Linked DNA regions of Rhinolophus ferrumequinum. The protein of the gene in region 3 purifies or fractionates together with the protein of the main gene of each other region. This does not show direct contact. Links are inferred from orthologs where the notes say so. Each region holds a gene or a part of one and is shown on either strand. Other genes may lie near its edges. The genes, in order: CTNND1, JUP and CDH5.

Region 1 (10,710 bases), on a different chromosome or scaffold from region 3:
GAGCGTGGGGATTCCGGAGGCCGGAATTCAGAGTTCACCCTCACCACCAGCTCCAGCCACAGGGGCTTTGCAGTCACCCACTAGGGCCCTCGTCCTGCCGCGGGCCCCGGCACCCTCATGCACGAGGAGATGATGACAGCAAGAGCCGCCTGAGGGCACGCACGCGGCCCTCGCCACAGACCTCGCGCCGCGGCCCTCCCGCACGGTGCGTCGCAGGGCCGACGTGCTTCCTCCTCCCCAGCTCTCGGGCTTACGTCTACCGGAATACGTCATCCCCATTGGCCGAAGGCTCCTGGAAGAGCCAATCACAGGAAGAGGAGCGCTTTGGGCGGGAGGCTGAGAATCGGAGAACTTGGGAGCTGAGGAAAGATGGTCTGGTCACGAGAGGTAGGGGGAAGGGCCTCCTAGGGAGGAATTCGGATGGCAGCCGACTTCTCGCTCAGCACTCGATGAAAACACTGTGAAAAAGAGGGTCAGGATCCTCCAATCAGATAGGCTCCAAGGCTGCTGAAGGATACCTTCCGCTTCTCTTTGAAGAGGCTGCAAATGGCCTCGGCCCTGCCAAGAGGGCTCCAGGCTTAATGGAGAAAAAAGCCCCAGGATGGCTCTCCTCGCACCTTGTCCCCCATAGCTCTAATCTAGATGTCTCCTAAGGCCAGGGATGTTCTGGAACGAGGTCATTGGGCTAGTTTTTGAATTCAGGTTTTTCTCAGATTCCATTCCAGCCCCAAACCTCCGAGAATTGGTGACTGAGGGTGGGAGGTGGGGTTGCAGGACTTCCCGTCTAGAGTGGTCTCTCTTGTCCTTCCAGAGATGGTTTATTTAGCGCACTTCCTGACTGGAAACAGCTGTTTTCAGGGATGATATTAAAAATTAAACGATCTCGAGATTAAACATTTAGTAAGAATCCTAACCCACGTTATCAATCTGGACAGCGGGTCTTTCCCCTGTGTGCGTTAGGCCCCGGGTCCTGGCTTCAGTTAGATTTTGCCTGATGTCCAGCTCTGGATGAAAGTGGCTGAATCCAAAGCCACTGATGACAAAGTGTGATGAAACTGAGCAGTCCCCCGCTGAGGTCAACTGGAGACAGAAAAGGAAGACGCCTAAAAGGGAACCTGGAAAGGGACAAGATGTGGAAGGGTGAGTAGTACAGTGCCCTCAAATATGTCTATTGATATCTAATACTTTTTCAAAAGGATTTGAGGTAGTTGATTGAAATATGGGGCGGAGTGGGGGGCGGAGGGGGGGGCGGCGGGCGGGGAGGAAGTGTCGGGCATTTCCAAGTCAGGTAATATTTCCCCTGGTTTGAGGCCTCTGTTTTTAAGATGGAAAAAGAAACAAGAACAAAAGACATAGTTTGAAGAGGAAGCAGTTCGTGAAAGGACGTAAAACTTACTAGAAGGACAGATTTTTGATACTGTTTGCGTCACACAAAAGCAAGCAAGCAAGCAAAACAAAAAAAAAGACAGAAGGCAGAACAGTGTTTGTTTATGGCATCTGCTACTGTGGAATCAGGATGTGATTAAGTAAGTGGAGTACCAGTACAGTTATAGGTAATTCTGTGGAGTTCTAACAAAAATATAAATAAATATTCTATCGTCTCATGAATATGTTGTTATCAGGATTAGATTAATTTTCAAGAAGTAGAGAGGACTCACTTCTTGGTTGTTTTCTTTTTTAATCCAATATCATTTTAATTAAATCTTGTGTTAGTAGAATTTCTAAAGGGAATGGTAAGTGGCCATTCTACCTATGGCTTCAAAAAAAAAAAACAAATGACACACTTTGGATGGTAATGTGTAGCCACCAGAGGGTAGAAAGGAGTAAGAAGATTTTGTTTTCCTCTGTATGGACAGCCAGTGATTTTTTTTGAGTTGATTTTTAAAAAAATTTCTTCTCACTCCATAACCATAACCAGTCACTCGTGATTTCCTTGTCTCCCAGTCCCTGGAAACCACAGATCTGCTTTCTGTCTCTATGATTTGCTTGTTCTGGATATTTCATATAAATGGAATCATACAATATATTTTTTAAAAATTTTCTTCTCCTAGGTATTTATTGTTTTAGTCTGTTTTGGAAGTAAATTCATCACAGCTCAGCACTCTGCCCTATATAATAATCTTAATATTTCTTTTTTAAACACAATTTTATTTTCCAGCTCTTCCTTAATCTTTCACCATTTAATGGTTTCTTGTTTCTCTTTGTTTGTAAGTGGTGATGACTGTGGATAGGGAAGTTAAACTTTGAGAGTGGTAAAACTAACAACTGAATGTAATATTCAATGCATAATAAACAAAACAAAACAAAAAAGGAAGGAAAAAAAACCCAAACCAAAAGCAGTGCTGTGTCTCTAAACATATCCTCAATCCATTGACCTCTCTCCATTTTTACTGCTGCTACTGTAGTGAACTCCATGTCACTGTCACTTGACCTTCAAACTAATTTCCTTGCTTTCACTTTGTTCCGTCTTTAATCCATTTGTCACATTAGTAGCCAGATCTTTTCAAAATATGAGTTAGATCATGTCATTCTGCTGTTTAAAACTCTCACAGGCTTTTCTCTACCTAATAAAAACTCCTTTCTCTAACCTATGGAAAGAACCCTTCATATTCGGATTCCTGTCTATCCCTCCCTCATTTCCAACAGCTCTGCTGGATTCAGTGTATTTCAGCCCCACACTTGAGAGCTCTGACATTAGTAGTTACCATTGCTCATATCTTCTCATTGTTGGCCACTTCTTATCATTCAGATTTCAACTTAAATGTCACCTCCCCAGAGAGTTTGTCCCTATGTCCAATCTAGAACAAACCATGAGTCATTCTCATCAGTCTGTTTTAAATCTCTGCATAGTCCTCCATCTGAAATCTTATTTATTAAGCTTCTCTGTTCCCCTGCTAGAAAGTAACTTTTTGAGAGCAAGAGACTTGTCTGTCTCATAATTCTTGACATTTACTAGAAGAGTACCTGGCTCACAGTAGGTGCTCAAAATAACCCAAGTGGAACTAGTCTTTTTATTTTCTATTAACTGATTGTAAACAGTTTTCCCCTAATGAATATTAATCCTCGTGATGCTTTATTTGGAGATAGCTGTTTCAGATAAATTTAATTTTTAACAATTTTTCACCACTGAGCTTTCTTTTTTTATTTGTATATGATTTTATTTTTAATGTTATCTACAAATTCATTAATGTTAAATGATTCCTCCAGGATTACATAACTAGTAAGCCAAGAGACTTCATTCACTCATTCATCTGTTGTGAAATATGAGAGATAAGGCTGAGCTGGGTGCACTTAAAATGCAGGCCGGCTTGGACGTACACACATCAGGGGGTGGCTTGGAACGACTCAGTCTGATCTTTCTGGGCAATAGTCCCTCATCCACAGAGGGGTACAAGTTGGTGGGGGAGGGCACCGTAGGACCAAGGACAGGGTCACTCGCACTCTCTTCAGGTCCCTGACTGTGGCTTGACGGTGAAGAGCTTTTTTCCTGTGGAGGTGGGCAGGCTCTGGCCTTCCTCTTGAGCACAAGAGTGTCAGACAAGTTCTCTGCGTTCTGTCGGTTGCACCTCTCCTGGGACGCCTCCTCCCCCGACGACTTCAACCTCACTGCCCCGAGAGGACAGGGAGTCTGGGTAACAGGCAGTGGCGTTCGAGGGCGGCGGCTGGATGCCACCACCCTGGCAGAGATCGGTGCAGCGCTTGGAGGTTGTAAGCACTCCCGGTTCAGTCTTCTGCACTGAGGGGCCTTCACCAACTTCCCACCCTCTAGCTGAAGGGATTCTAGCTCAGATACTCGGAGCTGACGGGCTCATCCTGGGCTTCTTCTCGAGATACTTCCATCTCTGAGGTATACAAGAAATCTACCAGCTCTGGGGATACACTATTACTAGAAAGACACTGTTCATGCCTTCATAGAGCTTATCTTCTGATGGAGGAGACAGGCACACACACACACACGGAAGGCAAAATACTTGCAAGTTGTTAGTGGTGATGTGAGGGAAGCAAGACCAATCCATTTCTAGAAAATCATAGAATTTTTAGAATATGGCTCTGATCTAGGAACCAACCAGTCAACAAACATTTCTTGTACTGATTGTTTTCCTTCGGCAATCATCTTTGGCTTTTGAATTTGTTATGGAGGAGCAGGAATAGATGGAACGTAGAGGTAGAAGATGTGATAAGGAAATACGGGAAGATTCGTAGATAATGAAAGGCTGTTCATTTCTCTGTTGAATGTATTCGTTTCCCATTCTAGTTCATTTAAAGCCCATCAAACAACTGCTGTGATGCCTGTTTGGTCTTCCTGCACTTCTGAGAGAAGTCCTTTTTGGCCACTTTAGACTAATGGAGTCTGTGGGACTATAGACCAAATATGAGGGGGTGGATAATGACTAGATCTGCCTGATTAGAAAATCACATTCATGCTGAGGAGGAGTGGAATTGGAATTCCAGTTTGGATAATAAGGAAAGGTCAGATTATGGTTAATAAGTGTTACTTTAGTATACTGAATGAATAAATGTGGCTCCTTGAAAGCAGATGAGGATCTTAGCCTTTATCCTGATCACAGTGTAAGATGATGGAAAGAACGTGGACTTTGGAGTCAGATTGCTGAGGGCTTTACTTCTTAGCCAGATTTCAGGCAAGTTTCTTACCCTTGCTGAGTGAGCCTTGATTTCCTCATCTGGAAAATGGTGGTCATAGTATTCTATGGTGGTGTTTTAGAAGTTACAGCTAATGAGTGCAAAGTGCCTCTCACGTGATAGATTCTCCATCATTGGTTGCTATTATTGGGCAATGATGAGCCAATGAAACTTTTCTGGGCAGGTTAGATACTGATAATAATAACAGCTCATTCTTAGTGAGTTTGTACTGTGCCATACATTGTTTAAAGAACTTTATGTGTATTTTAATGCTCACAACAGTCCTGTGAGAGAGAGATAGTTATTATCTTCATTTTATAGTTAAGGAAACTGAGGCACATAGAGAAGATATAATTTGTCCAAGGTCACATAGTAAGTGTAGAGAGGAGGAAGGTTTGAAGCCAGGTAGTCTGCCTGCAGAACCTATACTCTTAACCACTATTCTAGATTATGAAAACTTTATGAAGATTCATCAGCAGTCTACAGGATAGATTTTAGATTTTTCAGTAAGATAGGAAAAGGAAAATTTCAATTTATTACCATCATCGTTTAGTAACTACTGAATGACCATAAAATACTAGTCTTTGTTAAGTTTGTAAAAAAAAAAAAAAATCCAGTCTCTGATCTTCATGACCTAACAGTATAGAACATACTAAGATAACTCTTTACTCAGAAGAATACCTGTATAATCCTTAATTTAGGTCAAGTGTAAAAAGAGAATGTATGAACTAGATTATCTTAAACTTGAAGTTCACAATGCAGGCGAATATTCTTGATGTGAGACTGACTTTTCCTTACACATGCTGTTATCGCCTCTAAATGTATTGCTTGTTTATTGGATTCCATTTATCCTTCCCCTCAAACCGATATTATTTTAATTTGGGGCAAAAGGGAAGACAGTGATTGGCCTTAACTGCCCAGTGGATTCAGCTTCCTTCTAGTTGAAAGTATAGACGCTAAGAACTGTTAACAAGTGCAGACCTTTATTTTTTCTAATTAGCTCTAATGCAATTAAACCAAAACAATGAAATTGAGAGTTTACCTCAGATATCTCCTACCATCCCAATCAACACGTAATAATCCTGTTTTTTAGGATTTTTCTCTCCCACCCTTCCTGTCTTCCTTTGGGAGAATGCTTTGGGGTAGAAAGCAACAAACCAAATAGCAGCAGGCATATAAAATCAGCTCTTTTCTCTTTCTCCACCCGGAAGGGAAGGGAGAGGGAGCAAGAACACCACCATCAAAGGGAACTGATTCTTAGGCAGGCCATTCTAAAACTCCCTTGTTCTTCTACCCCCCCGCCCCCACCAGAGCTCTGCAGTAATTCTTCAGAGATTGTATGGTCTCTACTTTAAATATAAATATATATATAAAACTTCCCCCTGTCTGTCTCCTCCTCTCTCTCCTTCCCCCCCATTTCCTATAATAAAGTTTCCTATTGGATAAAATCAGCTCCCTGATTTATGCCTGGCTCCTATTGGAAGTTCTCAGGGGCTGACATCACTTAGGAAAGCGAGGGGGTAGGGCTGCCAGATCAGTTTGTCACCACCCAGGCTCCCTATCCTTTGGCTGGGTGCAACTTCCATTTTAGGTGTTGGAGCTGAGAGAAAAAAAAAAAAGAGGGAGAGAGAGAAAGAAGACCAGGAAAGATCCTGAAAGGAGGAAGAGGCCGTGAAAAATCACCTACCTTGCTGGATTTGTCTTTCTCACCACATTGACGAAGCCTTGGGTTTCTTTCTTAAAGGACTGGTTTTTAGAAGTCCACATCTGAGGTGTGTGCCTTTTTAAAAAATGTGTACAGACGGGTAAAGGAGGATACGCCAAGTCGAATTTTTGTCTTACGGTAACCTGAGGAAATTTAAAGACGAGAGTCTGCTATGTTAATGGGTGACTTTTAAGCAATTATTAATTTATTTTTCTACTTACTTTGGGGAATTGTATTATATTAAAAAAAGGTAAAATATTCAAGACCCAGAAACAAACTTCTAGGTCTCTCTAATAGAGGGCGATGAATAGATTCAGAAGGGTGAGAGCAATTCTGTAAATTTACAATTTGGTGTGTTCTTTGATTTTATATCTTTTTCTGGATTAAGCTAACAAACTTCTGTTTTCAGAGCCTAAACCAAAGGTTGGTTTTTTTTTGGCATGTTGCGTGTGGGTTGGGAAAGGAATTTGTCCGGGTCGGAAGCTAGTTATACATATGGCTCTTCATATGTTTCAAAACTTTTTTTTTCATCTTTTATCATTAGATTTGTGGAAGCGAAAAGTTGCAGGGAGTTTTGTAGCTTAAATGGTGGTGTTCCCCCCCTAGAGTTTGAACGGCCCAGATCGGTTTCAGCCCTGCTGTCCTGGGTGGATCCCTCTTTTACTTTTCCAGGTGTGGTGGGTGGGAGCCTCATCCTCCTGCTAGACGTTGCCTCCCTGCTTTGCCTTATAAGAGAAAACAGATGGATCCATGTTAAATGAATTGTTATCTCCTTTTCTTCTAAAAACTACCTTCGATGGCAAGATGTGTTGTTGGATGTTCAATCTGCAAATATGAAAGTGTTTGGTTTATGTGCTTAAAGGCATAAGGAAATTGTAATCATGCTTTTTAGTTCACCTAAGTGGCAATACACCTGAAAATATTTTCAGCTTTGTGCTCTCTTAAAGGGCCATGGATTAAATAAGGTTAGGCTAAGAGAAAACACTTATATAAACTTTAGTGTTCAGAATGAATTTGAGAAAGCACAAGGGGAGTTCTTATTTTAAAACAAACAGTTCTTTTTTGGAGGTGAGTTTTTTGTTTGCTATAAAATCAAAAATCTGTTAAGAGCTGAAGGCCCATGACTGCTTTCATATTTTACATTTAATCTTAAGATTTGTTTTTGCAAATGCATTCTTGCAAAAATACTGATTCTAGATAATTACATAGCCAACTCATCAGTAGCTGAAAACTGGGTGTTCTCTTCCTTCTCCCTTTGAAAATGCGAATCAGTCTGAAAATTATAGCTGGATTAGATACTGCCCTAATTGTAACAAGATGGGCCTTAATATGTAAACTGCTCATTAGCTTTAAACTGGAATCTACCTATAATCTCTGATTTTGTGCCCCTTCTAAACCCAGTTTTTAGACGAGAACACTTCCTTGAATTTCTTTTCTAGAACTGAGATTATTTCTTGAAAGATGATTTCATACTTGTAAGTTTGTGGCTTCACAGGAAACTAAACTAATATAATCTATGCAAGGGCTACAGTAAGATTTTAATACCTGGATCTCATAATTATAGCAAGTGCAGTTAAAAAGGAAGAAAAAAAGCCAATGTGTACAGTCTGTTGGGTTATAGTTCTTATTTAATATTTTCCAGTTTTTCTTTCAAATGTTCTCTCTGCCTTGACTCCAGCCTAGAGAGGTTTCTTGGTGGATCTTTGAAGGGTTGGTCATGTTGCTGCCAGAGTGTCGGTTTCCTACTCAACCTTTAGGGGGAGGGATGAGGGAATCTGAAGAAGGAGTACAAAGGCAGTTTGAAAATAGGTTCTGGATGACTGAGTGGTGGTGCTTTGGGTCCAGCTTTAAATATTGGGCTTTGTGTAGCCGCAGTAAGTATCCTAGTTAACTATCAGCCAGGACTATTTCCCCGAACTGAGGCATTGTTTTGACTGGTATGTACCATAGAGCCTTTTGCATGATAAGATGGAAGATTGTCTTTTACCTCACCTCTACCAGTTCTTTCAGGAAATATAGTCAGGGATGCGAATAAGTACATCCTTTTATTTTTTTTGTTTCGCTCCTCCTTTTGGTTTTGGGGTAAAAAATGACTAGTAAGTATGAGTTGTGCAGATTTTTCTTTCCTTGTTTGACTCCTGTATACTGTTGGTTTCTTTGTTATATGACTAAGGTATGTACGGTCTGTGTTCCAGGTGGGGGTCTCTTGTGGGTGGTTAGAGTTCTAGTGCCTTTCTTAGGGTTCCAGTTACAGAGAGTCAGAAGGGCTAGAACATGTTCTTTCAGGTAGTATAAAAATTGGTACTATTGGAAATCTTAGGAAAAAAACGAAAAGCTCCAAGTAATTGCAATTCACTTAGGTTTATGAGGTAGCTGCTCCCTAAGGATGGCTGCAAATAAATTAAGCATAGATCACTATTCATTTGGAATAACAAAATGATTAGCTCTGTATAATTTATTGCTTTCTATTTTGATACTTGATGGCCCCGTTACTAACTGCCAGGCCCTCCCCACCTTGTTTTTTTACTGCTTAGCATTTTTTATGCTTAGCCTTTTGCATAAACCATTTATTTAATTTCCCACAACAACTGTTGTTGTTTTTTTTTGTTTGTTTGTTTTAAAGGAATTTGAGCCTCATAGAAGCTGAGGTTTGCTGAAAATCTCATTGCCCATAAGGGACCAAGGCTAGGCTTAAACCCTGGTCTGACTAACTACAAAGTCCACGGACTTAACCACTAATACCCTGCCATTCTCCAGAGAGAATAGAAAAAAGATCCAGAACTAAAATGAGCCCTTGCTAGAGGCCAGAGTGCTTTATCTTGCAGAGGGTCAGTCCTCACTTAGATTTCCAACCCCCTCCCTGTTGGAATAACCTATGTGAAAAATCCATTTTCCATAAAGCCGTGGGGAGCTGGATATGCTAGAACGGATGTTATTTCAATCTTTAGAACAGAGATCTTTCCATATGCACAGCATTGCTGTCCTAATTTCTTAAACTTACTTGAAATGACTCAAACTTAATTTGATTATCAGTGAAATTTCTTCCAGAGAATTTTCAGGCATGATATTGCCAACTTGCAGGGTAGAGGGTTGTAGCAGGTAGAGCAAATAATGTTTATCATACTGTATTAAAATAGTCTAGTTTTGTCTTTCCTTCTAGACTATGAGCTGCTTGAGTATAGGCACTGTCTTATCTCTGTATTCTCTTAGCACCTATGGTAGTGTGTGGTATATACTGAGGTGTTCAGTAAACCTTGGTTAAATAAAAGGCACTTGATGACAACGAGTGAGGCACCTTTGGGAAACGCTGAAGGGAAGTTGAGATAGGAAGCACTACTACATAGATTAATACAATTGCAATGTAATTTTGAAACTTTACTGTAGTCTGTAGTTTCAAACTTTGACGCATCTCCCACCTTTCATTTTTAAGTAAAGTTTCTGGAAATAATGAAGATTTAAATTAAATTTTTTAAAATCCTGTTTCCTTTCTGGGCAAGCAGTCCAAAGAATAGTATAAAAAAGTAAGGGTCCTAGTCAGTTCATTTCATTACATCGGTAGCTGTTAGTTAACTTAAAGCACTGAAACCTGAGTTTAGCCATTTCTAGGGGAGAGGGACTGGTTACCTAGAACATATTAGGGCAGTGGCAGGCAAGTATTGCTTTCAGCCATGTTGGAAGTGATTGGTTTTTATACTTGTTAATACAAACATAAAAAGCTTGGGATGGTAATTTGAACATCAGTGTTTCAACAAAAGTGTGTTTGGATTATCACTGTATTTTTTGTCACTGCTACTGCCATGAAACTTTGGGAGATTTTGTTCACAAAGTGTATTGGGAAGTTTATGAGTTTAAGAACCCAAATTAATTTTCACGGGTAATTCAGAATAATAGTAACAAGAAACTTGCCTGAAGGAATGTATCGCAGGTAATCAGTATGTTATTTCAGGTTCTCTTTCCTCTCAAAAGGGGCTAAATGCCATGAGAAGCTGAAATAGGGAAGGCGCTGCCTAAACGCAGCTGCCTCCCAGGTTTCTTATAGAGAGCACTGAGACAGCCTGGCAGGGAGCTGGTGAGGAGAGGAAAACAACTGTTCTGGTTAGAACAAGGGGGGAATAAAGGTATGCATTGATTTGTCTGTAATGATACTGTATAATATATCTTTAGAAGGAATTTGTCCCTCTAATTCTACTTGGAATATTTAATATTATCTACTTGGAATATTTAATATTATTAAATATTGTTGATTGTTAAATATTAAGCATTCAGAACATGGCCCACACTTATAATTCTGGTTCAGGGACAGTGTTCCCCATTTTCAGGACCACTTTCTCTCCAGTGAGTCCTTCAGTCTGACTGGAATGGTG
Region 2 (10,381 bases), on a different chromosome or scaffold from region 3:
AAACAAGAAGGTGCTAAGAAAAGCGACAGTCAAGAAATATTCATGGTAGTTGCCTCGACGGTATAGAAATATGTGATTTATTTTATGGGTGATTTGTTTTCTTCCCTAGTGAACTTTCCTAAACTTTCCAATTGTTTTTCACAATGATCAGATATTACTGTTTCAGTCCAGAAGGAGAGGAGTCCCACCGCCTCCTCACCCCCAAACAAGCAGCATATTGAGTGCCCAGACCAGGTCCCAACTCTCTCCCCTGGCTGCCACTCCTCAGAGATAAGAATCCACAAGACTCCACAGTCTCCACAGTGAGGAAAGAAAGCAGACCTGTTAACTCACACTTTGCAGGTCACAGAAAGCTGAGCTTCCTGCCTTGAGGGCTCCCGAAGGCTGAGATGCCAGGAGGCTGAGCAAAGGGGAGTGGCAGTGAGCTTTCTCTTCAGGCCCAGCCAAGGAAGTTGCTGGAAACTGGGGCAGTCCATGGCCCCCAGACCTCCACCAGATTCAACCATGTCCCAGGAGAGAGGCCTCCCGGTGTCCCTTGCAGGGACACAAACCCTGATGACCTGCTCCGGCCACACTGCTCTTTCTCTTCACATGGGTGACTGGGCCAGCTGGCGGCTCATGGATATCTGCCCCTCTCATGGCCAGGTCGCTCTTCTCCCAGAAGACACATGACTGATTGTTGCCCCAGGGACTCCAGCAGACCTCAGACTTACCCCAAAGGGTAGTGACTGCTGGGGCAGGATGGCCCTCCCCTAGCTCAGGGACAGGGCCCTGCTTCATCCTCTTCAGAGAAGAGTCACCTCTAAGCTTCCATCTCTCCCTTTTATTCTTCAACTCAAGATCTCATCTCTAACACAGAGCAAGGCCTTCCTCCTGTGGCCTCCATTCCTTCCACAAAGCATCAGTCCCAAAAACTCGTATGTCCTCAGGGGTGACAGAAAACAGCAAGCCCCTCACCTTCTTTATAGCTAACAGCCCCCTGAGCTCATTCTCTTTCCCTTCTCTGTCATGTCAAGTTTCTTCAGCCTTCTCTTCTCCGGGACCAATAATCCTGATGTTTGGGGTCCTTTCCTGCCTGCAAGGGATCCGGAAGCCCAATGCTGACAGGCTCAGGTACGGCCCCCATTTCCCAGGCCCGTTCTGGTATCAGATGCTCAGTTGGCAGAGGTGCCAGAGCCTGGCAGGTCTGAGAAGACAGTGACACCAGCCCCTCCTTCAAGGAACAAGGCTCTGGCTGACCCCACTCATCACCAGAAAGGCCCTCCCCAGCAGCACAAAACCCCTACTGCCAGCCCCCAGTCTCCCAAACAGAAGATAGCCAGCTCCCCTCCCCACCAAGAGCAGTCTGGCAGCACTGCTGGGTACGATCCAGCAGGACATCAGCCCAGTCCTTAATCTGACTCTCATTTCTCTCCTCTCTCCAGGGAGCAGGCCCCCCCCCCCCTTGGCAGAGGCCCAGCCCCCAGCAGAGCAGGTGACTCCCACTTCCTATACAGGGACAAGCCCAGAACAACCCATGGTTCTGCCCACTCAGCCAGGAGGCAGCAGCAGCTTTGACCCCCGCCCTCTCCTGTCCGCACTCCTCCACACATCCGCTACAGTCCCTAGTTTTGGGGAGAGAGAGCCCCCTCTCCCAGGAACTAAAAACCAAACCCAGGGGAGGTTTCGGAGGACTGGAGGCTAGGACGCGTCACCCCTACCTGACAAACCTGCACCCTCCTTCACCACTCACACATACCTTCTCAGGCCCTTCTGAATTCTCTTCTCCCCAAACTCCCAAGCAGAAGCTCTCAAAAAGGAGTGGCAGAAAAACTCTTCCTAGAGCCACAGTGGGGTGATACAGCAGGTTGGGCTCCGGGCTTGGAACGAGAGGACCTAAATGCCAGACCCTGCTTGGGTCTGGCTGTGCAAACTTGGGCAAGTTACTTATCCTCCCGGAGTTTCAATTTCCTCATCTGTAGAATGGGGTAATGATAGCTGCCTCTAGGGACAGTCATAAGGATTAAGTGAGAACAGTTAATGCAAGTGCTTGGTTATCTGCAGCGTCCTCCGTTGCTTAAGTTACCATTTATCAAGTACTTCTTGGGTAGGTAGGGATTATTCCCATTTTGCCAAGGAGGTCACTGGGGTGAAGTGACTTGACCAAAGCCACATAGGTAATGATTCAAACCCAGCTCAGTGGAAGCCCAAATCCCCGTGCTCAGAACGGCCACGCCAGAACAACTCTTCAGGTAAACAGCCCTGCTGGTGATGAGACCCATCCCATTCTAAGATGGCTCTCGCCTGCCTGCCTCCCTCCCAGGCCAGCGAGTGACTCCTCATGGGTATCTCCCCCACGGGCTCCCAGGAGGCAAGCAGGCAGCAGCCCGCACCCTGACCGCCTTCATTCCTCCTGGCGACATTCTCAGAGCCTCAGCTCTGGCAGCCCAAACAGAGGTTCCAAAGGGAATGGGGTGGGGCCGGAGGGTGCTGATGGGGCAGGTGGAAAGGGCTCCTATCACCCAAGCTGGGGCTTGATGGAGCAAAAACTGACTAATTGTATCCTACCGGCCCCCGGCCCCCCCCCCGTCCCCCCCACCCCCCACACACACCCCCCCCTCCCATCTAGTAGGCAGCCAGTTTTCACCAGGCACCTCCTAGAAATCCTTCCTCAGTGTTATCTTTTCATCACAACCACAAACCAGATTAACTAAACGAATCATTTAATCAACGTAATTAGGATGCCTTCCCCTCCTCCACTTTGGGGAGACAAGAGGGAAAACAGGTTATTTTTGCTCAAACTCCATGCCCTTATGGCTCCTCGGAGGTAGTACACCCCCCCCCAGAGCAGAAGAGGGACGGGGAAGGAGCCTGATCCCTGGGGGTGTGGGGCACTCCATGGGGGTCCCCCTACCCCCCCTTTCCCATCTACAAACAAACCAGGTAGTAGGATCTTCCCAAGTGAGTCAGGGCAAACAGCCCTGATTCCCCCCAATCTTCCCTTCACCCCAGGACTGAGGGAGAACCTGGCTCTACATTCCCCTTCTGTTCCCCAGAGAGGCTGGGCTCCAAATCCCTGCAAAAAGATCACACTTCAGATTTTTAAAAACCAGTGCTGAAAGCCTGATGAAGATCATGAACTCTGGCCAGAGAAGGGCCTCTCAGAAAATGGGGGAGGGGGCACTAATTCAGCTCTGCCTGAAACCTTCCCCCCAAAAGCCTTCCTTCTGTCCCACTTTCCTCATCAAACTCTCAAAAGGGGGCAGGTGGAGAAAGGACAGCAAAAGCCTCCAGAAGGAACGCATCTTCAAAATCCAGAAATCAACTGGAAATCAAGGCCCAGTGCTCCTCGCTTCTCGGCCCCAATTACCAGCCAGCTAAATAACGTGGAGAACGGGGTGGGGGGGGGGGGAAAGGACCAGAACAATCGCTTCCCCCACCCACGTCATTAGGCCCGGCTCTGCCCCACCCCCATTCCTGGGGAGGGGGCAGAGCTTGGGAGAGAGTCACAAGCGCAGGCCTGAAGCGAGGGGGTGTGGTGGTCCCCGGAGGCAGGAAGAGAAGGAAGAAGCTGCTTCCCTTTTGGCCCACCCCCCTCATCCCGGCCCCCACCTTGGGCCGAGGGGCCCAGCAAACAGGATGGAGGTGGGGGCAGGGAGGACAGGGTCAGAGCGCAAGAACTGGCCCTGGCTCAGCTTGGCGGGCTGGGGGAGGGGGCTTTGCCCCAAGAAGGACCCCGTCAACCCTGGGGTAAGCCCTGGGCAAGGAGAGAGGAAAGCCCCCAGAGAGAGCTGCCGCGAATACCTCCTTTAGTAAAGTTTGTTTTGGGTGATTTTTTTTCCCGACAATAAGAGGTTAGGGAGGGTAATCCAGTTCCCATATCAACACTGGAAGCCACAGCTACTAGAAACTGGGCCACCCATGCACCCATAACACGAGCCCTCGGCCCAGACCCCAGTCCGGGACACGGGTGCGGAGCGCGGAGTCAGCTGGACGCGGGGCCGGCCCTGCACAGTCCCACTGTCATCCCATCCCATCTCCGCTGGTGAGCCCTAGCCTGTCACCCACCAGAGCAGAGGGTGGCGCCGCAGGTACCGGACCGACGAGGCTCCGGGAGCTGGAGGACAGGGCCTCTGGGCTCCGTGTGCTCACCTGCTCAGCAGGTGGGGCCCGCGTCGCTGGGAAAATGTGCGCTCGGCCCCCACAGTTGGGCAAGCCGGGCGCAGACAATAGGGCCCCACCCAGGCCTGGGGGAGTAGAGAGGGAGGGAAAGCGAGGATGACGCGTGAGGTGGGGTGAGGGTGGCCCCAAAGAGACCAGCGGCAGCAAGTTTCCCAAACAGTAAATTCCTAACTAGAGTGCGCCCTGGGACGCAGACGGAGCAGGTCAAAGTCTCTCCCGCGAGAGAACCAGGCAAGAGTCAGAGACACGGCGTCGGGCGAGCTCTGTGGGCCCCGGGGCAGGCGTGACCCCGGAGGCACCTGCCCCGACCTCTCCCCGCCCTTCTCAGATCCCCAGCTCACCAAGTCCCAAGTGCACTCCGCCGGAGCCTCGCGCCCCTTCAGTCGCCGCGCCCAGGACCCCAGCGCGCCCCCTGCCGCCGGTGCAGGGTGGTGCTCCCTGGCTATCTCCTTCACCTGCCCTGAGACAGCGAGGATCGGCCTCTCGGCCGCTCGCCGCCTTTCCCTCGCCCCAGCGATACTTGCCGCGATCGTCCGCACCTGCGTGTGGAGCCTGGCCGGACTGGGTAGGGGTAGGGCCGGGATGAGAGCCGGCGCGGGCAGCGAACTGAGCTCGGTGCGCTCGGGCGGCGGCTGCTCCGGACTCTGGCCAAGGCAGCAACTCAGTAACTGAACAAAAGGCGAAGGAACCTGACAGCCAAGCCACGCCTCTCGCCCCCTCGAGGCTCCGCCCCTGAGGGAGACGCCCACCCATTGAAGCGGTCTCACTGGCTGCCTCGCCTGACTGTCCCATCGAGGGGCGGAGCCTCGTCCCCAGTCCTCTTCCATCGCCGCCTCTGTTTATCCGCTAGCCATTGGCCCCAAGGACTGCCAGTCGGCTCTGGGGACGGCCTCCAACTTGAGGTTCCATCCTAACTCTGCACCTATTGGCAAATATAAGGTTACTTTCTCCTGATTGGGCAAGGAACTGTCAGTAAGACTAAGGAAAGAACTAATGGGAGGGATGGAGTATGTCTTACCCCACCCTACCTCTGAGCAGGTAAGACTCTTGACTCTCCCCTTTCCCCCTACCTGTCCAACAGGTGAGTCAGAGGGCGCCATGGGAAAGGACAGATGCCTTCACTGGCCAGCCAACTCAGCGTCAGGCATGATGCTTCTTTGGGCTTATTCACCCTTGCCACAAAGTCGTAATAACATACTTGTATAGCATTTCATAGACTTCTTGCTGGTTTGGGGTTTCTTACCCAAAGATGGAGGGAGTGCTCATGAGATTTAGAATTAGAAGGACAGGGTTTGGGTCCTGCCTCTTACTAGTTGTATGATCTTAGTCAAGTTACTTCATCTTTCACTCCTTTTCTCCTCTGTGAAAGTGGGTACATTAGCTATATCTCTCTAACCTGGGTGTGTAGGGGGATGAAATGAAGTAAGGTTTGTGAAATCACTTGGACAACTGCTAAATGTTAGAATTTAAGTAAATGATACGGGGTTTTTTAATTCTCATGACGATTCTGAAAAATTGTTAGGACCACAAAATGATCCTTATTTCAAAGATAAGGAAACTGAAGTTCAGAGAGGTCACAAAACTAGAAAGTGGCACATCCAAAACTAGAACAACTTTCTTCTAATTTCAAGGCCCACTAAACCACATGTTCTCCTAACAGCATAGATATAAAATGTCAAAGCAGTGGGGAGGGGCTGGGAAACCGGCAAAAACAAATATTCTGGGTAGAGACAGAAGAGTAATGATTTAAGAGAAAGTATTGGTGGGTTTGTGAAAAATATCAGGCAGCAGATCTAAAGGAAATCAACACAGTCATAAAAGGAATGGGACAGCAGGCACCATTCGTTAGGGGAAGAGTCTGGGTTAGTTCTCGTTAGGGGAAGAGTCTGGGTTAGTTATCAGAAAGAACTTCCCAATTGGTTAAGAAGACAAAAGTCTCCTTTGTGTGGTTGATGGAATTAATGCCTCCTGTTGGCTGTACAGCGTGCCAAGGTCCTACATTCATTCATCAACATTTAAGTATTGAGCACAACTGTATGCTAGGCACTGGGTTAGACCCTGGTGACACAGAAAGTCAAAATGATCCCAACCCTCAAAGGACTCCCAAAGGGCTAAGTGTAAACAAGTCACCTTAGCCACTCTGTGTGTGTGTGTGGGGGGGGTGGGGGACGTGGGGGGTTGGGGAGTGGTCATTCAAGAAAGGGTCTTTCCTCTAAAAGCTTTATAGCCCCAAAGCTAGCACACAGGATGGGCTGGGTACCCCAACAGCATCCTTGACCACTTTACCCACCAGAAAAAAGAACAGTGGCTGAACAGTAGCTAAGTCTCACTTCTGAGGCTTGTGCCATCAAGAAGTCTTCCTGGAGGGGACCAGGGAGATATTAACATCTCAAACCAGTTGCCATCCCGCAGGCCAGGGCCACTGTCCTTTGCTTTGTTTCCCTTACAGCCCCTCCTCCAGCTTATCTCTGTATTTTTCTCCCTACCTTCCTCCCCAACTGCTTGTCACGCTGCCACACAGTACAGTAGCCAGCCCCCAGCATGGGAGGAAAAGAGCAATCCCTAGGCTGCTGCCACCATCCACCAGGGTTTCACTTCCTCCTTCTTCCATCTCTCCACCCCCACCTGGCACACTGACACACACTTCCCAGACCCAAGCCTGGTTTAACTCCTTCCTTTCTCCTGACTTCAGCATACAGGCAGGGTAGGGCTGGTTGACTGCAGATGGGTGGAGAACCCTGGGTGTGGTGGAGGGGCAGAAAAGAGGCTTCAGAATAAAGCCTATGTGTGTATACGTGTGTGTGTCCCCAGAATTCTCCCTGTCTGTCAGCCTGGAGCATGCTACAACATGCTGGCCCCAGGCTCTGGCTGGGCCTGGATAGGGGCACCACCACAGCAGCAAGAAAGACTGGGATAAGAGCTCTGTTTCTCCTCCCAGGTCAAGAGATTTTTCTACACATTTATTAAGTGCCTACTATGTGCCTATCAGGCACTGAAGATTCATCTGTGGGATCAGAAAATGATGTTTACTAGAATCACCTGTCTGTTTCAGGGATGGAGTCTCACCGGGTGAGGAGGTGCCTAGGGATACGATCGGATCGGATGAGAGCTGCTCTGGCCACAGTCTCCTCTGTAGTTTGAATTTGAAGGAAAAACCACAAGGCCATTTTACCCAGTCCCCTGCCTCTAAGCCTTTAAAGGCAGGGACTTCTGTTTGCCAGATCTCCAGAAAAGGAGATTGTCCAGCCTCCCTTGAACACCCACGTCTCCTTATTCTAACACTGGTAAGTTCCTTCTGATGTCTAACTTCAATTCATATTCCTGCAATTTAAACCCATTTCTCTTGCCCAGAGCTCAGTGGAAGCAGTCCCTGAGCTGCCAAGAATATATATGGTTCATTCAACCATTCAACTTTGCAGCTTTCTGGGGCTTCAGAGTAAAGAAGAAAAGGGCACCAAGCTGCCCCAGAGACAGAAATTACTAGCAAAGAGGGGTCCAGGCCTATGAGGGGCAGGTGGGAGGGAGGGGAGCTGGTGAGGATGAAGAGGCACTTCCTTGGGGGAAGGTGAACAACAGCCAAGCGCCTCTCCCTCATCTCACTTCCCTTCATCCTCCAGGAGCAGCTGGGCCATATAAGGAGGTAGAAGAGATTCTGCTGTCTGTTCAAACTTGGCCCTTTTTCTGTGGGGGCCCCTTCCCCAGACAGAGACAGGCAGAGATGTAGGTCTGCACAAGCCAGTCAGCCTCTGTGCTCACGCCTCAGGGGTATACACTCCCCACTCATGGGCTCAGATTCAGACACACAACTGCCAGCCCTGTCAGCTCTCTCCCAATACATGCAAACACACCCACCCTCAATCTCTCCCACCCCTCCCCCACACACACCCTTCTTCCCTCCTCTTGGGCCTAAGCTGGCCTCAGGAATGGCTACCTCTATCAAGAAAGACCGGGTGAGCAGATGGGTTGCTAAACTTCAAGCTGACGATGGTTTCTTTTCATCACCCAGCAACTCTCACTGGCGTCACTGCAGCAGGAAAGGAGAGCAGTCAACGGGAAGTCTGTCCCAGTGGCAGGCTGGACTCAAAGGCAATGCAAAAATCAAGAAGCATTGTGAGCTTGGGCCTGCTCTCAGCCTCAGGGGAGAGAGCCATCCATAGACTGGGAGAGGGGCCTCTGTCCTGGGTCCTGCCCTTGGAAGCCCCCGCCCTGCCCCTGGCTGGTCCTCCTGGGGTTGTGACCCTCCTCAAGGGGCCAGGGTACCAGCCTACACAGAGTTCATCCCTTTCCCCTTTGAGACCACACTCCGGGTACCGGGCACTCTGGAATTCCTTGCCCGGCACTGACCCTTCCTTGCAGGGCCTGCAGGGCCCTTACTCTGGTCCTTCCTCCTGAGAACAAACAGTAGCACCATGCATGGTGGTATGTGCACCAGCAAAGGGGGGCAGGGGGCAGTTGTGAGGGAAAGATGGGCACAGCACAGACATGCGAGCGGGGGTGTCCACACACGTGCTGGAGGCCCTGTGCAGTGTGGGGGCAGCCAGGCCTCAAAGGAAAGGGGAGATGGCCCAGGGGACAGTTATCTCTGCACTGCCGTGTTCTGAGGAGTCAGAATTCTCATTCCATCCTGGCCCTTCAGGACACTGTGCAGGTCTACTTGTCAAGGTGTATCTTGTTTAACAGTTTGTTAGCTTGATCTATAATTTATTTAGATCTACATATACGGGCCTCCATTTGCAAGCCTGCCCCTGCCCACAGGTGTTGGGGTGGGGTGAGGCTGGCTCAGGGTGATCCTTGAGCAGGGGAGAGGACGTTGGGTGCTGCAGAAGAGCCTCTGGCTCCCAAACTCTTCTGGTGGGAGGGGGCCCAAGCACCCCCCCCCCAGTGTGGGAGCAGGAACAAGATAGGATGGTGCTAGGCACTGGGAGGGGGTATCGGGGTGCTCCTGTCTGTTTTGCTGTCCTTTGTCCAGGGCAGGAGTCTGGAGGCCAGAGGCTGCCCAGGGCCTGGGGCTGGGTCTTTGGGTGTGTGCTCAGCCACTGGGGAGGCCTCTTAATTATAGAGGTAGCTCCAGCAATACTTCACTGCAAGCTGTGGGTGGGGATGGAATGTCAAGGGAAAACAGGGAGACAAGAAAACAGAGATAGGACAAGCCAGAAATAGCACAGGCCAGGGCGAGATACCAGGGGCCAGTGATGGTAGTCGGGGGAGCCGCTGGAGGAAGGTCAGGACCTCTCCTGAGAATGTCTATCCTGGGGTTGCCCTCCCTTGCCCACCCCCAACCCCACCCCTCAGGTGAAATTCCAGGACTTCAGGAATCCAACAGCAAACATCAGGAATATATTCTGGTCCTGGGTCTCCTTGGCTGTCTTAACACCTCCTCTGGTCCTGAGTGATTAGGTGGGGGACGGGAGGGGGCGAGGCCTTGCCCCCTGAGTCACCTCCCTTCCGGCTCCTGGCCTGGGTGACTTCACACAGGCTAAAACAGCTAGGGCCCCACCCACCCTACCAGCCTGCCTGCCCTGACAGGTGCCCTTCCCACAGAGAAGCCACCCCTCCCTTCCCCGCTCCAGTACACACACACACACACACACACACACACACACCGCAGGAATTTCGTTTCTCCCCCACCTGTCCAGAGTCCTTAGGAAGAAAAAGAAGGAGCAGTCTAATTAGAATCTCCTTCCTTGTATCTAAGGGGAAACTGAGACTGGAGCCAGATGAACTTCCCTAAAATCACACAAGCAAATTCCTGGCAGGATTGGGACTTGAACCTTTGTCTTCTGCCCACCAGCTCACCATTGCCACCAATTTAGGTCTCTCCATCCCAACAAAGGTGGGATGCAGTGGTAGGGGTAGAGATAGATGAAAATCAATTTTGTGGCAAGTCAGCTTGAAGTATGACTTCAGGAAAAGCTCAGGATTAGACAGCCAGGACTAAGGAAGGGGTGGGGTGGGCTCTGGGCTGGCCAGCTCTCCTTGGGGTTCTAAATCTGTAACCTCCCCTCACTTCCTCTAAGCCCTCTGAGCCACAGCCATGGATTACACAGAGACCCTCCCCCCAGTTCACCAGCCCTCTCCACCTCCCTGGTGGGGCTGCAACCCCACCTTAGTGGGGGCTAGGGTCAGGACTTGGAGTCCCTTGTGTTGTACACTAATCCCATCTTCCCCAGTCCTATCCCGTGGCCACCAGGGAATTTGAGAGTTGAGATCCTTGAATATT
Region 3 (10,773 bases):
AATGAATGAGATTTCCTTCTGGAGAGGAACAGAGGGGAGTAGGAGGTGGGCCCAGGGCATAACCAGGAAATGAGGTCAGGTGTGAGTCGACCAGTCGGCCAATTGAGCCCACAGCCACCAGGCTAACGGGGTTAAGTAGATGAGGGTCAAGATACCCACACATTTACTGAACACCTACTGTGTGCTGGGCTTCATACCTGTGATCTCCCTCCTGACTAGGGAGGCAGCTATTATTGATGAAGAAGCTTGGGGCTCAGAGAGGGGAAAGGATGAGCCTAAGGCCACACAGCTCGTAAACAGCTGAGCAAGTTCAAACAAGCAGCTTGGTGGGACTCATTCTGCTGCCCTCACGGACTGCCTCAGAGTCCCAAAGTACGGAAGCCCAGAGGAGATTAGAAAAGGCTCTGTAGGGCAGGTGTTTTCTCCTTGAAACTTAGAGCTGCCCCATTAGGAGACAGGCGCATAGACTGGATGACCCTGGAGCCCAGAGACCCCAGCACAAATTTGTTTTAAATTGTAAACTAGCTCTGGTGAACTGGTATTCTACAGTAGAATACCGTGTTCCCCCGAAAATAAGACCTCACCGGAAAGAAGCCCTAGCATGATTTTTCAGGATGACATCTCCTGAACATAAGCCCTGATGCGTCTTTTGGAGCAAAAATTAATATAAGACCTGGTCTTATTTTGGGGGAAACACGGTAGTATCTATTTCAAAGATTGTATTGAGGATTCAAGGGCTGAGTTCAAGTTCAGTGGGAACGAGCACTGTGATGAATTAGTGATGTCTGGAATGGGTACAGGAATGGGTGAGTGGCCACCTATGACCTCTGTTTTACCAGTCCTATCCTGTAAGAGGTCCCCTGCACAGAGGCAGGTGTGTGTTCATCGGGATCTGATAAGAAGGATAATCTCGTTGTCCTCAAAGGACCAATCTCCTAATGGGGGTGTGTATGACAATACACTGGGCCAGTAGAGAGGCTATTTGGGAACAAGGAGGAGCTTCACTGAGTTATACCAATTACTGCACCCACTCTGACCACCCGAGGTGTTGTCTGCAAATAATTCAGGTTTGTTTTCAATCCTGTGAGTGAAGAGGGAAGAGTGACAAGACCAGGACTGGAGACTGAGGCAGGCTGACATGCATCAATGGGAACACCTGACCATCAAGGGCCGGGGCCTTGCGTTCATGCAGCTGGATACTGGATGAAGTGGAAACAGACCCAGAGCCTGCCTGCTCAGAGGCACGTGGGCCAGGAAGCACAGGCTGTACTGGGGGCAGGAGTCAATCAGAAGACCTCATGGGGGAGGCGCCCGGGGCTTAAAAAGAAGTAAAGCATTCACCCAGGGGACACAGCAAGGAAGGGCATTCAGGCAGCGTTGGCCGTTCACCCATTCTCATACCCATGGCAGACATCACTAATCCACCATAGTGTTCATTCCCACTGAACTTGAACTCAGCCCCTGAATCTTCAATACTGTCTTTGAGGTAGATACTTACCAATTCACTAGAGCTAGTTTGCGATTAAAAACAAATTTATGCTGGGGTCTCTGGGATCCAGGGTCATCCAGAGGAAACAGCCTGTGCAAAAAGCCTAGAGAGAGGAAGACCTGTGCATCCCAGAAACACCTACTTCTCCTCATGACTGGAAATGGCAAGGAGGTGGGGGAGAGGAGAGCCAGAGTCGTGGGCAGGGGACACGCCGTGCTGGCTCAGGAACCAGCTTCATCCTGCTGGAGGTGAGGAGCCAGGGACGGCAGTCAGCAAGGGAGCAGGGTGGTCAGCTCTCAGCAGAGTTAAGACGGGGCTGTTGGTAGAACCCTGAGGGAAGGGGATCAGGTCTGGGACCCACAGGAGCAGGTCCCTGAGCCAAACTGAGCTACGAACCAGGAGAAAGTCCCAAGGGGCCAGCTTGTAGGCTGCCCAGTCCCACCCCCAGCACACCCCATCCCCAAGGCTCCCAAGGCCTCACCCTTCATTCACACGGTGTCTGTAGTTGCCAAGGCCCAGCTGTAAATGCTGGGGTTTGAACAGACAATTGGGGAGTTCCTGACGGAGTTTGGGGATCAGGAGCTACAACCTCAGCCCTGAACTGAGGTGTGTGGGGGGATGGCATGGGAGGGCAGTGCAGAGAGCTGCTCAGGGCCACACAGGGAGCAGGGGCCCAGCTCGTCCCCTCCTACAGACACACCTCTTGCGTGCTCTGGGCCCAGCCCCTCATCCCTGACCCAGGGCCTCTGGGCCGGAGTCCAGAGCCTGCAGGAGGCTGGGCTGGAACTGAGCGTCCCGTCCACTCTCTGAAGCTTTGCTTAGGGTTGGGCTCAGCTGCCAGGTCTTGTCCCAGCTGATGGTGGGTGTGCTGGGTGGGAACAGAGGGGCCAGACCCACAGAGCAGAGACTCTTCAGGAATTGGCGTGGGCAGATGCCTGGGGACAGGGGTGTATACTTGTGAAGGCACAGTGGAGGGTGGTGTGTCTGTGTGGTGTGTCTGTAGATGTCATGCATGTATCTCTGACCTGGAGGCTTCCTCTGCCCCACCCCCAAGGGCCCTCCAGCCTTCTCAATACCCCCCCCCCAAAAGCCTGAACTTAGCCCCTAAAACCTCAGGCTTGAGCAGGGTCCTGGTCAGGTCAAGGAGCAGGGGTCGGCCCAGTGGTCAGGGGCAGGACCAGCCTAGGGGCATCTGCCAGGCTGCCCCACTGAGCAGTTCCCAGCTGGGTCCAGGCTTCCCAGAGTCGATTTAGCTACAAATGGAGCAGTTCCAGCCCCTCCCTTTGTGCCCCCTGTATCCCCCTAGACTCTCCTTTTAAAGAACACAGAGCTGAGCAGACCTCACAGCCCCTTCCAGGCTAAATCTCAAGGACACATGGGGGCCACAAAAAGAAAGAGAGCAAAGGGAGTTTTGCCTGATCCCACAGGGGGACAGAGACAGGCAGGACTCACTCCTGGAGTGAGACCCTCAGACCAATCTGGGCCGCCCCCACCCCGCCTTCTCACCGCTTCCTGCACTCCTCCATCACAGTCTGAAGGTCTATTTTTTATCAAGAGGTTATTGTCCATCTCCCCCACCGGGATGCAGCCTGTGTTTGTTCCCCAGGTGTGTTCATTCTGTGCCGGCCACATAGTTGGTGCACTATGTTTGTTGAATGACTGTGTAACCCCAGGGCCCTAGAGAGGGTTTCAGAAAAGTGATGACATGGGACTAAATCCAGGCAGAGGAGAGAGAACGGCAATACAAAGGTGGAGAGGATGTGACCAAGCCTGGCGTCTAGGTTCCGACCTCAGTGGTCCCACTCACTGTGGACACAGACCCGGATCCGGGGCGTCTCCAAGGCCCCAACCTGCCATCCAGGCGTGGGTGAGCCCAACCACTCCCCAGGTCCTCCCAGGCTCCTCTGCCCCTTGTTCTGGGCTCCATGCCCGCTCACCAGGGTCTCTGGGCCACACTCTGTCTTCTCATTGTGGGTCCCCCAGACTTTCCCAGATTGACCAAGGGCACAACCCCTTCAGGTTCGCCAGCTGGCCCACCTCATCCATGAGTCCATTTGGAGTTGCCCCCAAAAGTCTCCAACATGGCTCCAGGGACGGGCATTGTCACAATCCTAGATGACAGGGACACAGACAGGCACCTGGTCAATGCGTGCGTGGCACGCACATCTGAGCTGCCCAAAGAGCAAATCCCATCTCCCCTCGAGGCAGTTGTTGGGCAAGTTGCCAGGGCTGGCTGCTCAGCTGGGAATTTCTGAGCACAGAAATCTGACCCTCTGCACATCTGTCACACCCAAAGCCACCCAGCAGCACCTTGACCTCTGAAAACTTGGTGACAGCAACCAAGAGACGTGACTCCTATTTGTAGGGCGGTAAAGGGCTGAAATAAGTCTGACCCCGCTGTGGCTCTGACTACACCTCCAGAGATGTAGCCACGGGAAATGCTGCTGCCAGCTGTGGGTACAGCAAATCCTCTTGCCTGACTTCCTCTCCCTCTACAGCAGTTGGAGGTGAAATAATTGTTAGACAAAACCATTCCTCTTGGCCCCCATTTTGGTGGCCAAATTTCTAACACAAAAGGCAAAATAACACAAATAAAATGTAGTTTTTCAGATGGAAAAGACCCTAAGGTCCCGCTGAGATTGGATGTAGAAGGAGCGTGGGATTTAGAAAAAGATAGATCTGAGAGGTAGTGGGGAGTCCCAGGTCTAACCCTTCTGAGTTGTTTGTCTTGAGCCTCAGTTTCTTCCTCTGTGAAATGGAGCTGATAATTCCTACCTCCGGGGGATAATGTGAAAACTGAATGAGATGGTAGCTATGAAAGCCCAGCATGGAGAACAGTTTATTATTATTACTGCACATGAATGTCACCACAGAGAGGGGCACATGATGGAAAAAGCACTATGTGGGGTGAAAGGCAGCCTAAGTTCAAATCCTGGCTCCGCCTCTTGCTGTGTGGCCTACGATGACTCACTCCACCTCTCTGAGCCTCACCTGCTAAATGGGATTACTGACAACTACCTTATAGTTTGCAAGGTTTAAATGAGACAATGTGGGCCACTGAGGAGATACTCAGGAACGTCAGCCCCCATCCACCACCCACGGCCAAAAAGTGCTGTCTTGGAAGAGCCCTTGAGGGTCCGGGATGGGGGCTGGCGATGGGATTTTGTGAGCTTCGTCTCCCAAAGGTCCTCATCTCCAAGGTCCTGCCTCCTCACTAACTGCCACTGACAAGACAGCTGAGCATGCAGACCTCCCCCCGCCCCCTCCCCCCAGCAAGTGACACACTGGTGTGGTGGGGTGGCTCTGGAGGGCAGTCCCAGTTCTGTGTGCCAAGGGAGTTCTCTCCAGGGCCCACCGCAGAGCCTCTGCTGGACACAGAATGGATGTGCACATTCAGATCATACTTTATATGTGGGGCCAGACAAAGCCCCTTGAGGGGTTACTGTCCCCTGTGTGCCATGTGGCCGGAGCCTGTGACAGGTGGCCTCGGATTTATTTAAGTCCAGCATGGTTACATATTTGTTTGGCTGATGGATGCTGTCAGCCCTGGGACGTCGAGCTCATCCAAGCAGGCCCCCCCAAGAGAAAGCTGTGCTCCTCTTCACTGGGGCAGACAGGTCCTGACAGGAAACAGTATTTACTCTGGGGGCTCGGAGGGATTACTTACAGAGCCGGGAGCTCAGCTAAGGGAACAAGGGGGACACTGAGGCACGTGGACACCAGCAACAGTGGAAGCCGTTACCACCCAGAGCCAAAGGCACAGAGGAGGGAGGGTTGTTTCCAGAACCCAGTCAGGGCCAGGACCCTGGAGGGGCTTCCCGCCCACCAGGAGCTGTCAGCCACAGCAAATGGTATGAACCAGCACAAAGAGCCAAAGGGAAGAACTAATCCCGCTTTCTCCTCCCATCCTGAGAGCTCCTGCTGGAGCGCCTATTGGCCAAACACCAGAAGCCAGGGCCAGAAAGCCCAGGGGTCAGCCCCTCGACACAGAGCAGAGGTCAGGGGAGGCGTGGGAGGACTGGATCTGGCAGGAGGGGACCTGCAAATCCCTCCACCAAGTGATGGGGTGTGAAGGAACAAGAAGGGTAAGTAGAGTCCCCGAGGGAGCAGACCCAGTGGCAGTGAGAATCCACACACCTTTGGTTCCATTTTTAGCTACTGCTTATTGTCCACGTCACAAACATTTTCTAATTCAACCTGAAGACAACCCTGAGAGGTAGATGCTGGTGTTCCCACTGCACCAAGGATGAAACAGGCTCAGAGGGCTGAAGTGTCTTGTGCACAGTCGCTTAGCAACAAAGCAATGCAACGGAGGTTCTGCAAACTACAGAGGCTGCCGTCATAGCCACCACCCCGCACTGAGTGGGCCCAGAGAGCAACGATCCACGTGTGACATGTGGCTGAGCCTTGAGTAGGGGAGACATAGCTGGGGTGAGAGGGAAAGATGGTCTCCAGGAAGCAGAGGAAGCTCTGACTTGAGCCCTGCCCTGGGGCCTGGATGTCAGTCCAGTGGAGGACGTCGGGAAAGCAGGGCTGTGACGCAGGGACCAGGGACGGTCCCCAGAGGACTTGTCCTCAACTCTGAAGGACAAGTTCACCAGACAGAGAAAGAGGCAAAACCGGGGGTGCTGTCCTGGGGTCACTTCTCTTCTCCAGCTACCTGCTCTCCTTACTGTTCCACCCTCGCAGTTTGAACACCGTCCAGACACAGTGACCAGACACAGTGACCAGACGGTAACTGCAAGCTCCCCCAGACTCCAGGCGGGTCTCCAGCAGCTGCTGGCCATGACCACAGAGACCTCTCATAGGTAACTGCAACCTGACACAGTCCGCACAGAACTGTTGGTTTCCTCCCCACCAACACGCCACAGCCCCGGCTTCTGAATCTCAGGAAAGACCCTGCTGTCCCCCCACTGCTCAGGCCAGAGACTGGGAGCCCTCCCTCATTCTTTCCCATCCCTCGCCCCCACTTCCCCTTCACCAGTGAGTCCTGTTAACTGTACCCCAAAAATAGTCCCCGTGGCCATCCCCTCCTAAACCTGGGCTGGACCACCATCAACTCTCTCCTGTATGACAGTGACGGGTCACCCCTCGCCCAGCCAGCCCCCTCCCCACAGCTGACTGCACAATTAGACTGCATTAGTTGCCTACAGCTGCTGTAACAAACCTCCCCAAACACAGTGGCTTGAGACAATACAAATGTATTTATTTGTTACCTTGTAGTTCTGGAGGTCGGAAGTCTGAAACAGGTTTCAGTGAGCTAAAGTCAGGGCTGTGTTCCTTCTACAAACTCTAGGGGGGAATCCATTTCCTTGCCTTTTCTGGTTTCTAGAGGCCACCCTCATTCCTTGGCCTATGATCCTGCATCACTCCAACCACTGTTTCCATTGTCACATCTCCTTTTTCCTGATTCTGACCCTCCTTCACCTTTTAAAAACCTTTGATTACATTTTGTCTACCCACATGATCCAGGATAATCTCTCTATCTCACGATCCTTAACGTAATCATATCTGCCACGTACAGGTTCTTGGGAGGAGGATGTGGACATCTGTGTGGGTGGCACCATGCAGCCTACCACACTGACCTGGCCACCTCTTCTTGTGATCTGCCCTCCCTCATTGTTCATTTGTATCTGACCCAGGGACCTCCTTTGCTTCTTCAAACACACTAACCATTTTTCTACCTCAGGGCCTTTGCACTTGCTGGTCCTTCTGCCTAGAATTCCCTTCCTTCCCCTGGCGTTTCTAGGACTAACACTCAGATGCTGTCATCTCTATGAGAGGCCTTTCCTGGCCTCTCCATCTCAACCAGCTGCTCCCTCGGTCTCTGTTGTGTCCCCCATTGTAATTCCCTGGGACCCTCTGATCACTAGCTGATGTTTTTCCTCATTTACTTATTTTCCCGGTGTTCCCACTACAGTGTGCACTCCCTGAGGGTGGTTCTTGTCTGTCTTGCTCACTGCTGTACCCCAATGCCTAGCATGGGGCCCAGCATACAGTAGGTGCTCAATACCCATCAGGGTTCACACCCTGTCCTGCTCAGAAGCCTGAAAAGTACCTCTCTCTCTCTCTCTCTCTCTCTCTCTCTCAGGTTCACTTCTGTTTGTTTCATTTTCTCATTTTCGAGTCACTTCTCATTTGAGGGAGGAAGAAAGAACTAAGACTTGCAGTTCCTTTCTAAGCAAAAAAGGAAATGACCCACCAGGCTCGGGCCCAGCAAGGCTGGGGCAGGGGTCACGCCCGCTGCCTTCCCTAAGTCAGAACCAGCTTCCTGGCCAGGACTCCCAACCTCCCCGTGGCTTTGTTCACTCCCTGCCTCGCGCCTGGAATGGCTGCCCTTGCCACACCCACCTCAAAGGGAACTGGATCTCTCCCAAGTCTGTCGCCTCATTTGTGACTGAGGAAAGTGAGAGGCGGAGGCAGGAGGACCTTGGAGGCACATGGTACTTGTATTTTGGGGCCTGCTCTGCTCCACCCCAACCCAGGAGCCCACTTCCTCCTGGGCCAGTGGCAGGGGACACAGGATGGGAACCTCGGATGCTAAGATCAGCAGACCCAGAGAACAGGCTGGCCCAGCACAGACAGACACCCTCGGCCCTCACTGAGGCCAGCCTGGCGCCAGTGTCACAGAAGAAATGTGACTAGAGTTTGGAAACCTCCTGTGATGTGCAGAGTCCAGCCTCTCCCCTGGGCCAAAGCAGGGGACAGTCAGGGAGGGAGTGGGCCTCCTTCCAGCAGCACCCTGTGAGTCCTCGTCTCTCCAGGCAGGAGCGCTGGTCCCACTCCCACCACCTGCCTCCTTCCCTTGAACCATCCCACACGCCACAGGTCAGTGACACAGGGACCCAGCAGGGGTGGACTGAAGGGGTCAGGGCTGAGGGCACAGTGACAGCCAAGGTCAGAGCCTCCACCCACTGTGGGGCAGTGGGGAAAATCCCTCTCCCTGGAATTCAGGAGGACGCTAGGCCCCCATCGATGGGGAACCCAGATCCCAATCTGGGCTGATCCCATGTCCCGAAGGCTGCCTTGAAAGGCATGGACCTGGGCAACCACAAGGGACCCTGTGCTTAAAAGGCCCCCATGCCTGCTTTCATGTTCTTCTGTCGCTATCTTGAAATTCTTAATAACTTTTGAACATGGGACCGCACATTTAAATTTTGCAGTGGGCCCTGAAAATGATGAAGCTACTGTAAGCCCAGCCTCTCAACCCCCACACCACCCACCCCTGCTCTGTTGACAGCTCCTGAACTGATAATCTCCCATGAATTCTGGGGGTGAGGTCTGACCCTCTGGGTTAACACACTTGGGTTTCCTAAGAGCCGTCTGAAGACAGCATCAAAGCCACACTGCTACATGGGCTCCAAAGCTGGCCAAAGGACATGTTTATTTAGAGGAGCCTTGAAATCCCATGTCATAGCAGCTGCTGGGAAAAGAGAGAGCAGTAAGAAAAACCATGAACTTTTGGACCAGACAGACTTCCTTCAAATCTTGGCACGGCTGCCTACAGTCTGAGTGATCTCAGAAATGTTCCTAAACCTCTCTGTTCCTCCGCTCATCTGCAAAATGAGGGATACAATTATACCCACCTTGAGGGTGATTGGGAGGATTAAAGTGAGACAACCCATTAAGTGCTTGGAACAGTGTCAGGCACTTGATAAGTGCTCGATAAATGTTAGCCGCTGAAGTCAGACTCTTGGGATCCATTGTCAGCCCCACCACTTGCTCCAAGCTGAACTGCACCTCTCTGTGTGTGGGTTTTCTTACGTGTAAAATAAGGATAACTGGGTGCCCACCGCACAAGGTTTCGGGAGCTACCATCAGCATCACCCTCTCGTCCGGGACGCCTTCTCCGCAGCCCTCCTCTGGGCTCTCCCTTCGCCTGCACTTGCTTCCACACCAGCACATGTGACATGAAGTACAAATTGTTGCTGTGCCTGTCTTCCCCTCCCAGGCTGGGAGCTCTTTGGGGGCAGGAACAGAGTCTGGTCCTGCTAGGATCGGCAGAGGGTGAAGGACAAAGGAATGAACAGATAAGGGGGGCTCGTTTGTCCCTGGGAGCTGCTCACACCCCAGCATAGGGACCAACAGGCCCTGACGGTGTTTCCTCTCTGTCCCCAGATCTGTGCCTCTTGGGAAGATGTATGTGCTCCCGATGCTTCTGGCCGCAATGGGCACCTGCCTGTGCCTGCTGGTGGCAACTGCCACGAGTGCTCACGTTGCCCAGCTGGACACTCCCAGCATGCTACCCACCCTCCGGCGCCACAAGAGAGACTGGATTTGGAACCAGATGCACATCGATGAAGAGAGAAACGCGCCCCTGCCCCATTACGTGGGCAAGGTAAGGCTCAGGCCCAGAGCAGGCGAGGCCTCTGCAGCAGGCGGGCCGCAGTGACGGTAGTAAAGACGGTGACAGGTACTGGGGCGGTTGTAGGGGTGGGGATGATGGTTGTGAGGGGATGGTAATGGTGGTATAGATGGTGGAGGTGGTAGATGTGGCGGTGGTGGTGGTGGTGATAACGGTGACAGGAAGGGGACGTTGGCAGTGGTAGTGATAGTGATCATGGATGTGACGGTGCTGGTGCAATGGTGGTGGCAGCGATGGGGATGATGATAATGGTGGCGATGAAGGTGATGGTGAAGAGGAAGGTGGTGGCGGTGATAGTGACGGTGATGAGGAGGAAGGGGCAGTTGTTGCCGTGATGATGAGAATAGTGCTGGTGATGGTGATGGAGAAGAGGAAGGTGGTGGTCGTGGTGATCATGGTGTTAATACCGACGGACGGGAAGTTGGTGGTGGTGATCACGGCCGGGACGCTGGTGGAAGCGATATTGAAGGCTATGGCTCATTTTCTCCCAGATCTTGGTCCATGGACCAAATATCACTGGTAGAAGGGCCACGTTGGGCACAGGCTGAGGAGGCCAGCCTGACCTTGGGGTTCAGGGCTTAGGGCAAAACCAGCCAAGGCTGCCATTAAATTTTTCCATCTGAGAGGTCCAGAAAACCTAAGCAGCCTTCTACAAAATCATGCTGGTGATAAAGCTAATTGGCCAGGCCATAGTTTGCCAACCCAGGTCTATGCCTTTGAAATTCCTCAAAAAACCCTTTCTCTCAGACAATCCCTCCCTAGCTTTCCGTCACCCACATAACTCCCCAGGTTTCTAGGGTACCCACAACAGGATGCCTGCCCTCCCATGACGCCAAGCCCCACTTCCTTCCCCTCTAAACCTTGTTCATCCTCAGTCACCTTCCGAGAGATTAGAGCTAATCTGAGTGGTGACTGAACT

What was found.
Region 1: the proteins of CDH5 (region 3) and CTNND1 purify together in Homo sapiens (affinity purification with western blotting; 3 studies listed by BioGRID and IntAct, counting the BioPlex papers as one, with this or other methods). This does not show direct contact. The link is inferred for Rhinolophus ferrumequinum from reciprocal best matches to the Homo sapiens genes CDH5 and CTNND1.
Region 2: the proteins of CDH5 (region 3) and JUP purify together in Homo sapiens (affinity purification with western blotting; 3 studies listed by BioGRID and IntAct, with this or other methods). This does not show direct contact. The link is inferred for Rhinolophus ferrumequinum from reciprocal best matches to the Homo sapiens genes CDH5 and JUP.

Annotation. Positions count from the first base shown.
Region 1 is NC_046294.1:11,449,099-11,459,808, reverse strand, and holds the start of CTNND1 (catenin delta-1), read left to right. Parts: upstream 1-6,175; 5' UTR 6,176-6,413; intron 6,414-10,710. UniProt on the Homo sapiens protein: Key regulator of cell-cell adhesion that associates with and regulates the cell adhesion properties of both C-, E- and N-cadherins, being critical for their surface stability.
Region 2 is NC_046304.1:37,730,534-37,740,914, forward strand, and holds the start of JUP (junction plakoglobin), read right to left. Parts: upstream 4,877-10,381; 5' UTR 4,701-4,876; exon of another isoform or gene 4,686-4,700; intron 4,647-4,685; exon of another isoform or gene 4,503-4,646; intron 4,068-4,502; exon of another isoform or gene 4,048-4,067; intron 1-4,047. UniProt on the Homo sapiens protein: Common junctional plaque protein. The membrane-associated plaques are architectural elements in an important strategic position to influence the arrangement and function of both the cytoskeleton and the cells within the tissue.
Region 3 is NC_046298.1:16,357,517-16,368,289, forward strand, and holds the start of CDH5 (cadherin-5), read left to right. Parts: upstream 1-6,225; 5' UTR 6,226-6,274; coding exon 6,275-6,297; intron 6,298-8,063; exon of another isoform or gene 8,064-8,317; intron 8,318-9,607; coding exon 9,608-9,827; intron 9,828-10,773. UniProt on the Homo sapiens protein: Cadherins are calcium-dependent cell adhesion proteins. They preferentially interact with themselves in a homophilic manner in connecting cells; cadherins may thus contribute to the sorting of heterogeneous cell types.